2 linked regions of the Cricetulus griseus genome follow. The protein of the gene in region 1 purifies or fractionates together with the protein of each later gene. This does not show direct contact. Links are inferred from orthologs where the notes say so. Each region holds a gene or a part of one and is shown in the gene's direction. Other genes may lie near its edges.

What was found. Proteins that work in one complex are often made in the same cells at the same time.
Region 2: the proteins of E2f4 (region 1) and Cdk2 purify together in Homo sapiens (affinity purification with mass spectrometry; 4 studies listed by BioGRID and IntAct, with this or other methods). This does not show direct contact. The link is inferred for Cricetulus griseus from reciprocal best matches to the Homo sapiens genes E2F4 and CDK2.

What each region holds. Positions count from the first base shown.
Region 1 is NC_048596.1:181,584,481-181,590,163, forward strand, and holds the start of E2f4 (transcription factor E2F4), read left to right. Parts: upstream 1-1,811; 5' UTR 1,812-1,848; coding exon 1,849-1,983; intron 1,984-2,379; coding exon 2,380-2,489; intron 2,490-2,579; coding exon 2,580-2,762; intron 2,763-3,054; coding exon 3,055-3,098; intron 3,099-3,916; coding exon 3,917-3,978; intron 3,979-4,204; coding exon 4,205-4,502; intron 4,503-5,113; coding exon 5,114-5,338; intron 5,339-5,683. UniProt on the Homo sapiens protein: Transcription activator that binds DNA cooperatively with DP proteins through the E2 recognition site, 5'-TTTC[CG]CGC-3' found in the promoter region of a number of genes whose products are involved in cell cycle regulation or in DNA replication.
Region 2 is NW_023276806.1:129,198,165-129,203,925, forward strand, and holds the start of Cdk2 (cyclin-dependent kinase 2), read left to right. Parts: upstream 1-2,508; coding exon 2,509-2,624; intron 2,625-3,327; coding exon 3,328-3,405; intron 3,406-3,504; coding exon 3,505-3,625; intron 3,626-4,788; coding exon 4,789-4,959; intron 4,960-5,761. UniProt on the Homo sapiens protein: Serine/threonine-protein kinase involved in the control of the cell cycle; essential for meiosis, but dispensable for mitosis. Phosphorylates CABLES1, CTNNB1, CDK2AP2, ERCC6, NBN, USP37, p53/TP53, NPM1, CDK7, RB1, BRCA2, MYC, NPAT, EZH2.

The sequences.
Region 1 (5,683 bases):
TCCAGCTCCTCTGGCACCAGCAGCCAAATTCCTCTCCCCAAGGAAGCCTTTCTTCCTAGCCCAGAAGCCCCTTCTTCTCTCCAAGGCCCCTCCTTTTCCAAGGCAGAAAGGAAGGAAGTCGAGTCTCTGGCACTTTATTCCCAACAGGAAAAGCATCTGCAATGAGGTGGGGAGAGCTGGGAGCCACTTCCTGTGGGGTGGGGGCAGGCATGAACTCCCCGAGATCAAGTCTTGACCAGCCCACCTGGGACTTCTATGTGCTCAAGAAACACATATGCACATATCAAGCTGATTTGGCCTCAAACTGGTTTGAAAAATGACCCTCCCACGTGTTGATGTGGCTGCAAACAACATGACAGTATGAGAACCACTGATGGGCCCCCGAAGAAAAGGGTATGAACTTCTGTGGAGGAATGAGCACCTGTTGTGAGGAGAGAGTGTAGTGGGAGGAGGGGCAGTCAGGGATCGTAAAAGTTATATTGTTCCTGAAACTGACAGGGAGTGATGAACAACATTTGATGAGAATAGTACAGTAGCCACTTGGTGCACCACACAAATCCATCCACAGAATAGAGACTCATTTCCTAGCTGCCAGAAGTACAGGTTGTTGAGGGGTTGCGGCTAAAGTTCTAAGTCGGTTTTGATGTACAAAGGCCCAAGTAAGTACCCTTGCTGAGCACAAACACCTCAGAAAGACTATCCCAATTTCAGAGCTAGCACCATGGGCTCTCTTATAACTAGGTCTTGCCAATTCTGCTTGTTTTACTCTCTTACAAGTATGAATCCTCAATAGACTTGCTGAAGGGAGTTTGTTTTCTAGAGGAACTGACCAAAAGAAACAAGTAACAATAAGTGATAACAATGTTAAAAGTAAAAAGACTTGCAGCTGGTGAGATGGCTCAGAAGTTAAGGGCAGAGCTCTGCTCTTGCAGAGGACCAAGGTTCAATTCCCAGCACCTACATGGCAGCTCATAATTGCCTGTTAACTCCAGCTCCTGGAGATCTGACACCCTCTTCCAAAACACCCTGAGCACCTGCACACATGTGCACAAAAGCACACACAGACAGACACACACATATACAGATAATAAAAATAAATAAAACCTTTAAAAAGTAAGTGACACTTGCAAACACACAGGTCTTCCTATGTCAGGAGCTGTCTTAAAGGTGTTGCTTCTATTCACACATAGACAAATACCTTTGCATGGATTGAGAAGTGGTTGTAAAAAAGTCTCCTGGCTTCTGTGAACTGTATGTAGTAGCATGGAGACCAGAGGAAAATGATGCTGGAACTAAAAGAGGAGTAGAGACGGAAGAAGTGGGCAAGCTAGATATAGTTGTGCTTGATGGTTTTGGCAAGAAGTAAAGAAGGCATGGGTGATCTCAAAACACTAAGGAAGCCTTTAGGAGCAGTTTTAATTTAATAGGCTAAGCTTATCAGGCTGGATGGCTTCCATTGCCTAGATGGGGGATTCGGGCAGTTAGTAGTTTGGAGGCAAGTTAACAAGGAAGATTCGGGTGGTTCTTTCCCTCTTCTCTACCTCCAGGACTGCTCACTGACAACCCTACCCCTCTTCCTTCTATACAACTTGTCAGGTCTACTAGCTAGCTGTCCTAGGAATTGCTTTAGTCTTCTTTGCTAAAGGTACATTTGCTGATGGTCCCCAAAATTTTACGTCCAGATCTTCAAACAGGAATTGCACCAGATACCCTGGGAGGGCATGAGACGGAAGCGGAAGTAGAGGTGATAGCGCCGGTGGCCCGGCGACTAAGACAGGAAGCGGAAGTGGCGCCGCGGCCGGCCTGGCCTGGCCTGGCTAAGGGGAGGCGGGCGGGCGGGCGGGCGCGATGGCGGAGGCCGGGCCACAGGCGCCGCCGCCCCCGGGCACTCCAAGCAGGCACGAGAAAAGCCTGGGACTTCTCACCACCAAGTTCGTGTCGCTTCTGCAGGAAGCCAAGGACGGTGTGCTTGACCTCAAGCTGGTGCGGCCCGGGCTGAGGGGCGACAGGGGAGATGGTGGACGAGGCCTGAACCAGTAGCGGGAACCACTGGGGCTATCCCAGTGGAACTATCCTCCAACAGCCGGCCCCCATCTGTGTGCTTTCTCACACGAGAGAGGCGGGAGGCTGTTTCCATTCACTCAAGCCACAGAGCGTGAGCTCTGTGTCTGAGTCGGGGCTGCAGGTGCTGGCCCTCGTGGCTAGCACAGGGAAACGAGCATTAGAATATCAGAACACAAGACTCTTCCCAACACACTGCTGGAGTGACTGCAAGGAACCCCTGGGATGGGACACAAGACTACCCCCATTCCAGACTGACGGTATCAGGGTGCACACTTAAGAGTGGGGTAGCATTCTCCATTCTCTTCTACTTGCCAGGCAGCCGACACTCTAGCTGTGCGTCAGAAACGGCGGATTTACGACATCACCAACGTGTTGGAAGGTATTGGTCTGATCGAGAAAAAGTCCAAGAACAGCATCCAGTGGAAGTGAGTAGGGGTGTCAGGGAGGGCAGGAGTGTCGGGTGTGTAGGAGAGAGCAGAGGTATGGGACCCACAGTTCTCAGCAGTCCCTCTCAGTTTCTCATTCCTCTGGCTCAGGGGTGTGGGGCCGGGTTGCAATACCCGGGAGATTGCCGACAAGCTGATTGAGCTCAAGGCAGAGATCGAGGAGCTGCAGCAGCGGGAGCAAGAACTTGACCAGCACAAGGTGTGGGTGCAGCAGAGCATCCGGAATGTCACAGAGGACGTCCAGAACAGCTGATATCCTCTGGCAGCCCCTGTCCTGGGGAGTGGACAAAGGGTCCTCAGCTGGTTTTGCTCTGTGGCGCTCAGGGCCCTGTCCCTTTTGGGAGGATGATCCCCTGGTCAGATTCAGAGTTGAGGCTCCCTTCTCTTCCAATCTTAGCCCATGATCCTTACCCACTTGGACCCCAGGTTCCAGAAATTCCTCTGAGGGCTTGTGTGTCAGACATCTGCTAAAACATGGGGTCTTCTGTGGTCTGCCATCTGGCACAGTAAGAAAGGCATCAGCTGTTCTCCTTAACCCCCACACCTTGGCCTATGTGACTCATGAAGACATCTGCAGGTGCTTTGCCGGTAAGCAGAGCCTGGGTAGGGGGGCAGGAGTGGGAGCTGAACTAAACCACAGAGCCCTAAGTGTCCATCAGGTTCAAGGAGAGTTTCCATCTCTGCTTAGCGAGAACCAGGCAGAGTCTCAGTTTGAAAGTCACTGGAACTCTGTAGAGACCAACAATACTGAGGGTACAAGGGTCCCACTGTGTCCCTAGGTTTCTGGGTTTGGTTCTTAGACATGATATAGGCACAGAGGAAAAAGGAGAATGTGTGTTTGTGCACAATCTTACATACTTGTATTCGGGGTCAGTGGTGTCCATTTCTGATCTGTGTATATAGGAGCTGTTACTTCTTATATTTCATCTTGTATCTTGGTCTTGGGAAAACTTGGTTAGGTCTGTTTCTAGGGATCAACCCCATTTGAGGAGTGAGGTGCCCATGGCCAGTGACATCACTCCAGAATGTGACTATACTTTAATCCCTGCACTTGGGAGGCAGAGAAGGGCAGATCTCTGAGTTTGAGGCCAGCCTGGTCTACACTGCAAGTTCCAGAACAGCCAGAGCTATTACATGAAGAAACTCTGTCTTGAACAAACAAACAAAAAAGACCCTGTCTCAAAGGAAGAAAAAGAAAGTGTGCTTGCACTGGATTTTCTGGTTACTGAGCATAAGTTTTTTTGGGGTGGAGAGTTTTAGCTCTGCCTACTGCTTTGGGATGGTAGAGGCTTAATATTCAGTTTTTTAGAGACTGTGGTCTTTTGTCTTGCCCCAGTGAACAGACACTTCCTTTCCTAGCTCAGATTGAGCTCTTGGGCCCTGATGCATTCTCCTTGTCATTCTAGGAGACACCCTGCTTGCCATCAGGGCCCCATCGGGCACCAGCCTAGAGGTGCCCATCCCAGAGGTAGGTGCTCAACCCTGGAAGGCGGTGCCAGCTAAGGGTGGATACTGGCTGTGGAGCTTGATAAGTTCTGGGTGGGGCAGGTAGGGGGAGGCCTGGAGTTTGGGGTTATCTAGTGGACTGGCAGATGAGGAATGGGATGACAGTCTGGCTCTCACCCAGAGTCAGGCAGGAGCCATGCCTGCTTGCAATTCTACTTGTCCCCCATCTTCTGCCCCCCCACCTCCAGGGTCTCAATGGTCAAAAGAAGTACCAGATTCACTTAAAGAGCATGAGTGGCCCCATCGAGGTGCTGCTAGTGAACAAGGAGGCATGGAGTTCACCACCTGTGGCTGTGCCTGTCCCTCCCCCTGAGGATCTGCTCCAGAGCCCACCTGCTGTTTCTACCCCTCCACCTCTGCCCAAGCCTGCCTTATCTCAACCCCAAGAAACCTCTCGTCCATGCAGTCCCCAGCTAACTACCCCTGCTCCTGTCCTTGGCAGCACTGAAGTCTCAGAGGCAGCAGGCCAGACAGCTGAGATTGCAGGTGAGACGCTATGGTAAGATGTGATGGGTTATAAGAAGGTGTCTGTTATAGAGTATTACACTAAGAATTGGAAAAGGCTGCTGGGTCCCCACCTAGCTTTCCTTGGTGTCACAGTGAATGTACCCTTTTAAATTACTTTTTTCTTTTATTTGTTTGTAAGGGGGAGGAATGCTACAACATACATGTGGAGGTCAGAAGAGGTCAGATGACAAATTTATGAGATTGGTTCTCTCCTTTAGTATGGGTTCTGGGGATCAAACTCAGGTTATCAGGTTCAGCCACAAGTGTCTTTACTCACTGAGCCCTCTCACTTGCCCTGAATATGCCCTTTCTAACAAGGAAGCTTTAACTATGAAAAGAGAATCACTACGGAAGTTTATCCCAAATTGGACAGTATGTAATGGATCCTGGCAACCAGGATCCCTCCTCCAGGACTTGTGCTCTATCTTCAGTGATCTTTTCTAGATTGCTCCTTGGTAACTAGTGGTGGCTGATTCTCCTTGAGTTTGGGTACCAGCATTATGGTCATCCTGGCCATAGAATCTAGCCTAGCCAAGTTCTAGGATCCATTTCCTGACTCCATGTGATGGGCTTTGGGGATGTGATTGCAGTGAGTGGTGGCCCTGGAACTGAAAACAAGGATGGTGGTGAGCTCAGCTCACTCCCACTGGGCCTGACAGCACTGGACACTCGGCCTCTGCAGTCTTCTGCCCTCCTGGACAGCAGCAGCAGCAGCAGTAGCAGCAGTAGCAGCAGCAGCAGCAGCAGCAGCAGCAGTTCATCTGGACCCAATCCTTCTACCTCCTTCGAGCCCATCAAGGCAGACCCCACAGGTGGTGAGTACTTACTGAGCTACAGGGGCCAGCATGGAGTCAGCCCAGTGCTTTATCAAACACATAGTTAGAAAGTGCCTTTCCTACTAAGCCCTGTTCTCTGTCAGCCAGACAAGGGTGTCTAGTCTCTGGGTCAGTGCTGGTGCCTTTTGCCCCCTTCCTAAAACTTCAATCCCATCTGCCACCATTTGAAACATCACTGAGCCTCACTAATTGAGATTTGCTACTCTCTGTACTCACCTTACCATACTTGTATCCTTGCCATGTCTAGGTGCATGCAGCTCTTGGTGCAGTACTAGCCCGGCAGGCTTCCAAAGGGTATATATAGGTCTGGTGCTCTCTTGGTCC
Region 2 (5,761 bases), on another chromosome or scaffold:
GCCTGTGATCCCAGCAACTAGGAAGCAGAAGCAAAAGTATTCTACTATATAGTGAGTTCAAGGCCAGTCTGAGATACAAGAGATCCCATCTCAGAAAAGGAATGAAGAAACAAACAAACAAACAAACAAAAAACCAAAACAAAACCCCTGGAAAATGCAGTACAAATGAAGAAGCCAGAGTAAGGAAGTTTGTGAGACCAGGGATTCAAAGAGAGAAAAAGAGGCTGTGATATGATGTATGTATTGTAGTACAGCAGAAACTGTCCTTATCCCAATTCTAATGTCCACAGGGAAGCCAGATTCTGTTGGGGGTTGGTCTGTGGTCAACTCAGAGAGTGTTTGTCCACCGAAGCAGGAGCAGTCATGAGATGCACCATTCTTTTTTAACTGCCCACCCTCCCTCCCCTGCAGCACGGGACATTCCAGACCCTCTCGCCACCCTTCACTCCCTCCCCTTGCTCCTGTCACGAGGCCTCAATCCCCCAGAGTCCTTTCATGTGATGCTCAGCTGAGACCCTTCTGCTTCTCTCTCCCAGACCCAGAATGTAAGGCCTGGGCTATATACACCCATATCCACCCCAAGTACAGAAGGTGGTATCAGCTTGGTCTTCCTGAATAGCATATTCTCTCTCTCCACTTTAATTCTCCTATCATAAGTACTTCAGATATCACCTAATCCATTTTACCCATTTATTTTACCTCCTTGGGAGCCCTGTTTCAGCTCTCTGTCTGAGGAGGTCTCAGAATTACTGTTGTGCCTTCTGCCCCTTGAGTCAGATAGGAATACTTCTCAATCCTAAATTTCACACATAAATCTGGGCACGACGGTTTATGTCAGGAATCCCAGTGCTTAGGAGATAGAAGCACGAGGATTAGGAGTTCAAGGCCACCCTCATCTTGAACAAATGAAGGCAAACAAAACTTTATCCTCACGAAATCAAATCAAATAGGACTTGAGATATTCCTACAAGTCTGGTTAGAAGGGGGAATCCCCGAGCAGGTGTTCAACTGCTAATGACACTTGCTCCTGATGACACAGGCGCACTCACCTTCTACGGCCCCCACAGCCAGCAAAGCACTCAGTACAAACAGAGGGAGAGGGCACCTCCTTGGCACATCCATCCTGCTCTTCCTTTCAGCAGCCGAAGGTGCCAGGGGTGGGAATGAGCCCCTATATAGGAAGGGATGCTCATTTGCATAGCCCTTCCTCCCATGCTCTAGAGAAGGGGAAACCTGGGAAGAAGGACCAGAACTGATTTCAGGGTCTGGACGTTCCTTTTCTCAGCCCACCGCTCAATGACAGCTTCCGGCTTCACTGGGGTCACATTCACCCTGACACACACTTTCATTCTGAAAAGAGTTGACTGATGGGCAGCCACAACTCACGTACTGTACTTCACAGCCATTTCAGCAAGAGAGGGAAGCCATGAATTGAGTCAAAGCAAGCAACCCTCAAGACAGATACAAACACCTTTATCTAAAAGCTGTCCGAAGAGGCAGAGTGTACATTCCCAGCAATGAAGCAACAAAACCAACCAATGAACCACTAAAACAGTGAGACAGGATTAAGCTAGGCTGAGAAAGGACTTTGTTATCTAGCCTAAGAATCCTTTACAGTAAGAGCCCTGATCTTGTGCCTCTTACGATAGTACACGGAGGAAGTGCCAGACGATCTCTGCGAGTTCGAAGTCAACCTCAATTTTTATTTTATTTTTAACGCATTGCAGCCGGCCAGGCTGCAATATGAGATACTGTCTCAAAAAGGGGGTGGGAGTGCTGGAGAGACCGCTCAGGAGTTAAGAGCCTATGTAGCTCTTGCAGAAGATCAGAGCTGGGCTTCAGCGTCAGCTCACAACTGCCTATAACTTCAGCTCCAGACGATCTGCTGCTTCTGTGAAAAAAACACACACAGACACACACATAACTGATATATATATATATATATATATATATATATATTATATATATATATATATGATATGTATATATATATGATTTCCCAGGTTTCTGCTTTCCAAAGGAGGCTCTCCTGGCCAGCTAGAATTTAATTTCACTTAAGGGATGGTGAAAATTGTGAGCGGAAAGTAAGGAAACCCTTAGACCACAGACAACACCAGTTCCGGCCGCCGGAGCCCAAACCAGGAACTGCGGGAAAGTTGCGCTGCGGCCACTCGGCTCACCCGCCCAGGGCGGGGACTCGGCGGCGGGAGCGCGGAGCCCGGCCCGCCCTCGTGACGTTGACCAATCCCAAGGGTGGGAGGCGGAGCCAGGGAAACGCGGGAAGGAGGGGCGGGGCCTCGGCTGGCCGTCTGGAGCGGTGGGGGAGGCGGCAACATTGTTTCAAGTTGGATAAATTGTCAAGGGCTGAGCTTTGCTTGCGTTCCATCCAGAGCTGGGGCTGCGGTGCTCACCTTGGCCCCCAGGTCCTCCGCCCCGAGTGTTGGGCCCGCTTTCTTCAGGGTTCCCGGGCCCCGCTCCCGGGGGCCTGAGCCGCCGCACTAGTGCTCCATGGAGAACTTCCAAAAGGTGGAGAAGATCGGAGAGGGCACGTACGGAGTGGTGTACAAAGCCAAAAACAAGTTGACGGGAGAAGTGGTGGCGCTTAAGAAAATCCGGCTCGACACGTGAGTGGCCTCCGGAGCCGGAACTCCTTCCCCGGGACCTCTTGGCTGCCCCCCCCCAACCCCCTACCCCAACAGGCGGGTAGCCGTCCCGGACCGGACCGGAAGGTAGCGGGAGGGACTCCTGAAGTGAGGGGTGGGTTGGCGGACGGTAGACGCTCTCTCTCGGTGACTGTCCGAGGGCTAGAATTCAGAGAAAACTTTCTTCTCGTGCTCCACCCGGTGAGCTCCCAAATCTGCAAGCCGGGAGACTTGGGAAGAGAAAGTGGGGGGGATGGGGGGGGTGAGGTAGGGTCCAGGAGTGTTCATAGAGTTGGGTTATGTACGAACCAGGAGAATAATTCCTTTCTGAATGGAGAGCTGTCCCCCCTGCTCCAGCCCCATACTTAGAACCCTCACCCTCTTTCAAAAGAATGGCAGTTGAGACTCACTGGCCCTCTGGGGAGGCTGGGAGCTACTCTCACCCCCCTCCCCTATTACCTTTCCTCTGCTTCTCATTCACCTGGAGGCTCTACTTACCTTCCACTGGAAAAAGAGGAAATAATGACCTTGAATATGTCTAAAAGCCACACCCCAATTACCCAGGAATAACTACTGACAGTACCTTTCCTTTCTGACTTCCTAAGGGAGTTTTGGGGGGTGGTGTCTCCCTAAGAGAGTATGTTTGTAACCATATTCTCATCTGTGTTTTTCCAACCTCTCCAAGTGAAACTGAAGGTGTGCCCAGTACTGCCATCCGAGAGATCTCTCTGCTTAAGGAACTTAATCACCCTAATATTGTCAAGTAAGTGTAGTCTGAGAGATGACCACCAAGGTGAATTCTGTTTGTTTTAGCCTTAGAATTTCTCTCCCTCAACTGCATTTCCTGAACCTTCTCTTGCAGGCTGCTAGATGTCATCCACACGGAAAATAAGCTTTACTTGGTTTTTGAATTTCTGCACCAGGACCTCAAGAAATTTATGGATGCCTCTGCTGTCACTGGCATTCCTCTTCCCCTCATCAAGGTAACCTTCCTCAATTCCAGCTCAGGTATCTTGGGGAAATTAGAGGCAGGTAATTCAGACTGGTTATATTTTGGCTTGTTTCTCAGGCTTCAACACTCCCCGACCCCTTTTATTTGTGTCTGTTGGTCTCTTCCTGTTCATTATAGTCATTAGCCATAGGAAGGACCGAAGAATCATAACCAAGGTCCTGCGAGCCACCTAGACAGCTCAGGCAGATCAGATACCACTCAGAAAATGGGATTGAGGGTAGTTGGTGGGTTCCTCAAAAAAAAAAAAAAGTTCCACCTGTGATGTGGGAGACAACCAGAACTGTATTCACTCCTGGAGTTAATGAATATCAGCAGTTACATATTTGACACAGTTATTTAACACAGGCATGTGCTAGGCACAGGGTATTGAAAGGGATGCAAAAATTAAGTAATATCTGGTCTTTATCCTTGACAGGCTGAAAAATACAATGAAAGAAGTAGCTATTAAATGTGTGGTTGTGTTGTAAGGTGTGTTGGCTCATGATTGTAATCCTAACACTCAGGAGGCTGAGGCAGGAGGATGTCTGTAAGTACAAGGACACCCTGGCCGGGCGTTGGCGGCGCCTTTAATCCCAGCACTCAGGAGGCAGAGGCAGGTGGATCTCTGTGAGTTTGAGACCAGCCTGGTCTAAAAGAGCTAGTTCCAAGACAGCCTCCAAAGCCACAGAGAAACCCTGTCTTGAAAAACCAAAAAAAAAAAAAAAAAAAAAAAAAAGACAGCCTAGGCTACACTTGTAAGCCTATCCTACAGTTCCAGGCCAGGAAGGCACTATCATAAAAAACAAACAGGGCTGACAAGATAGCCCAGCAGGTAAAGGCACCTGCCTCCAAATCTGATGACCTGATGACCTGAACTCCATCCCCAGGTCCCACATAGTACAAGAAAACCAATTCCTGCAAGTTGTCCTGATTTCCTCGTTTGCACAGTGCCATGCCCCCCCATAAATAAGTAATAAGTAAATAAATAAATAAATAAATAAATATGCAATCTAAAGAATTAAACAAAATCCCCCAAAAATACGTAATGGAGTTATCATCTCACATGATTAAGGCTTTACTGCATTTTGAGGGCAAAGAGCAAGTTGTATCTGTTAACGGTGGTGACTGAACAAACCTTCCTCTCTCCTTTGTCAGAGCTATTTGTTCCAGCTGCTCCAGGGCCTAGCATTCTGCCATTCTCACCGGGTCCTGCACCGAGACCTTAAGCCCCAGAATCTGCTTATCAATGCAGAGGGGTCCATCAAGTTGGCAGACTTTGGACTAGCAAGAGCCTTTGGAGTCCCTGTTCGTACTTATACTCATGAGGTAGGTCCCCCTATGATTTTTCTTCTTTAAGAATCTTAGGGAGATGTTCATACCAGGGCAGGAGTTCCTTGGTAAATAGAATCTCTGACAACCCAAGGGTCTTTTTTTTTTTTTTTTTTTGGTTTTTTGAGACAGGGTTTCTCTGTGTAGCTTTGGAGCCTATCCTGACACTTGCTCTGGAGACCAGGCTGGCCTCGAACTCACAGAGATCCGCCTGCCTCTGCCTCCCAAGTGCTGGGATTAAAGGCGTGGCCACAAACACCCGGCTCAACCCAAGGGTCTTTACCTATTTATTTAAAGTGTCTGAGTAAAGTGCATGTATGTCTGTATTGCATGCCTGCCTGGTGCTCACAGAGGTCAGAAGAAGGTGTCTGATCCCCTGGAAATGTAGTTACAGACTGTTGTGAGCTTTCATATAGATGCTGGGAATTGAACCTGGATCCTCTGCAAAAGCAACAAGCACTCTTAACTTCTGATCCTCTGTCTAGCCCTTAACCAAAGGGTCTTAGGATATGCACTGAATTCATACTATGAGATTACCTGGCCTTTGATACAAGCCAGGAAGGTTGATTGGCATACCATTTAAATGACTCAGATTTTCCAGGAACGTCCCAAATCTGGGGGTTTTGGGATACTCAACTGGGGATGGAGAGAAGGCTCAACAGTGAGGAGCATATGATGCTCTTTCAGGTAAACTGTGTCAGGCAGTTCACCATCACCCTTAACTCCAGCTCCAAGGGATCAGACACTTTCTTCTGGCCCTGAGGACACTGCACAGTTGTGGTATACACAATGCATGTAT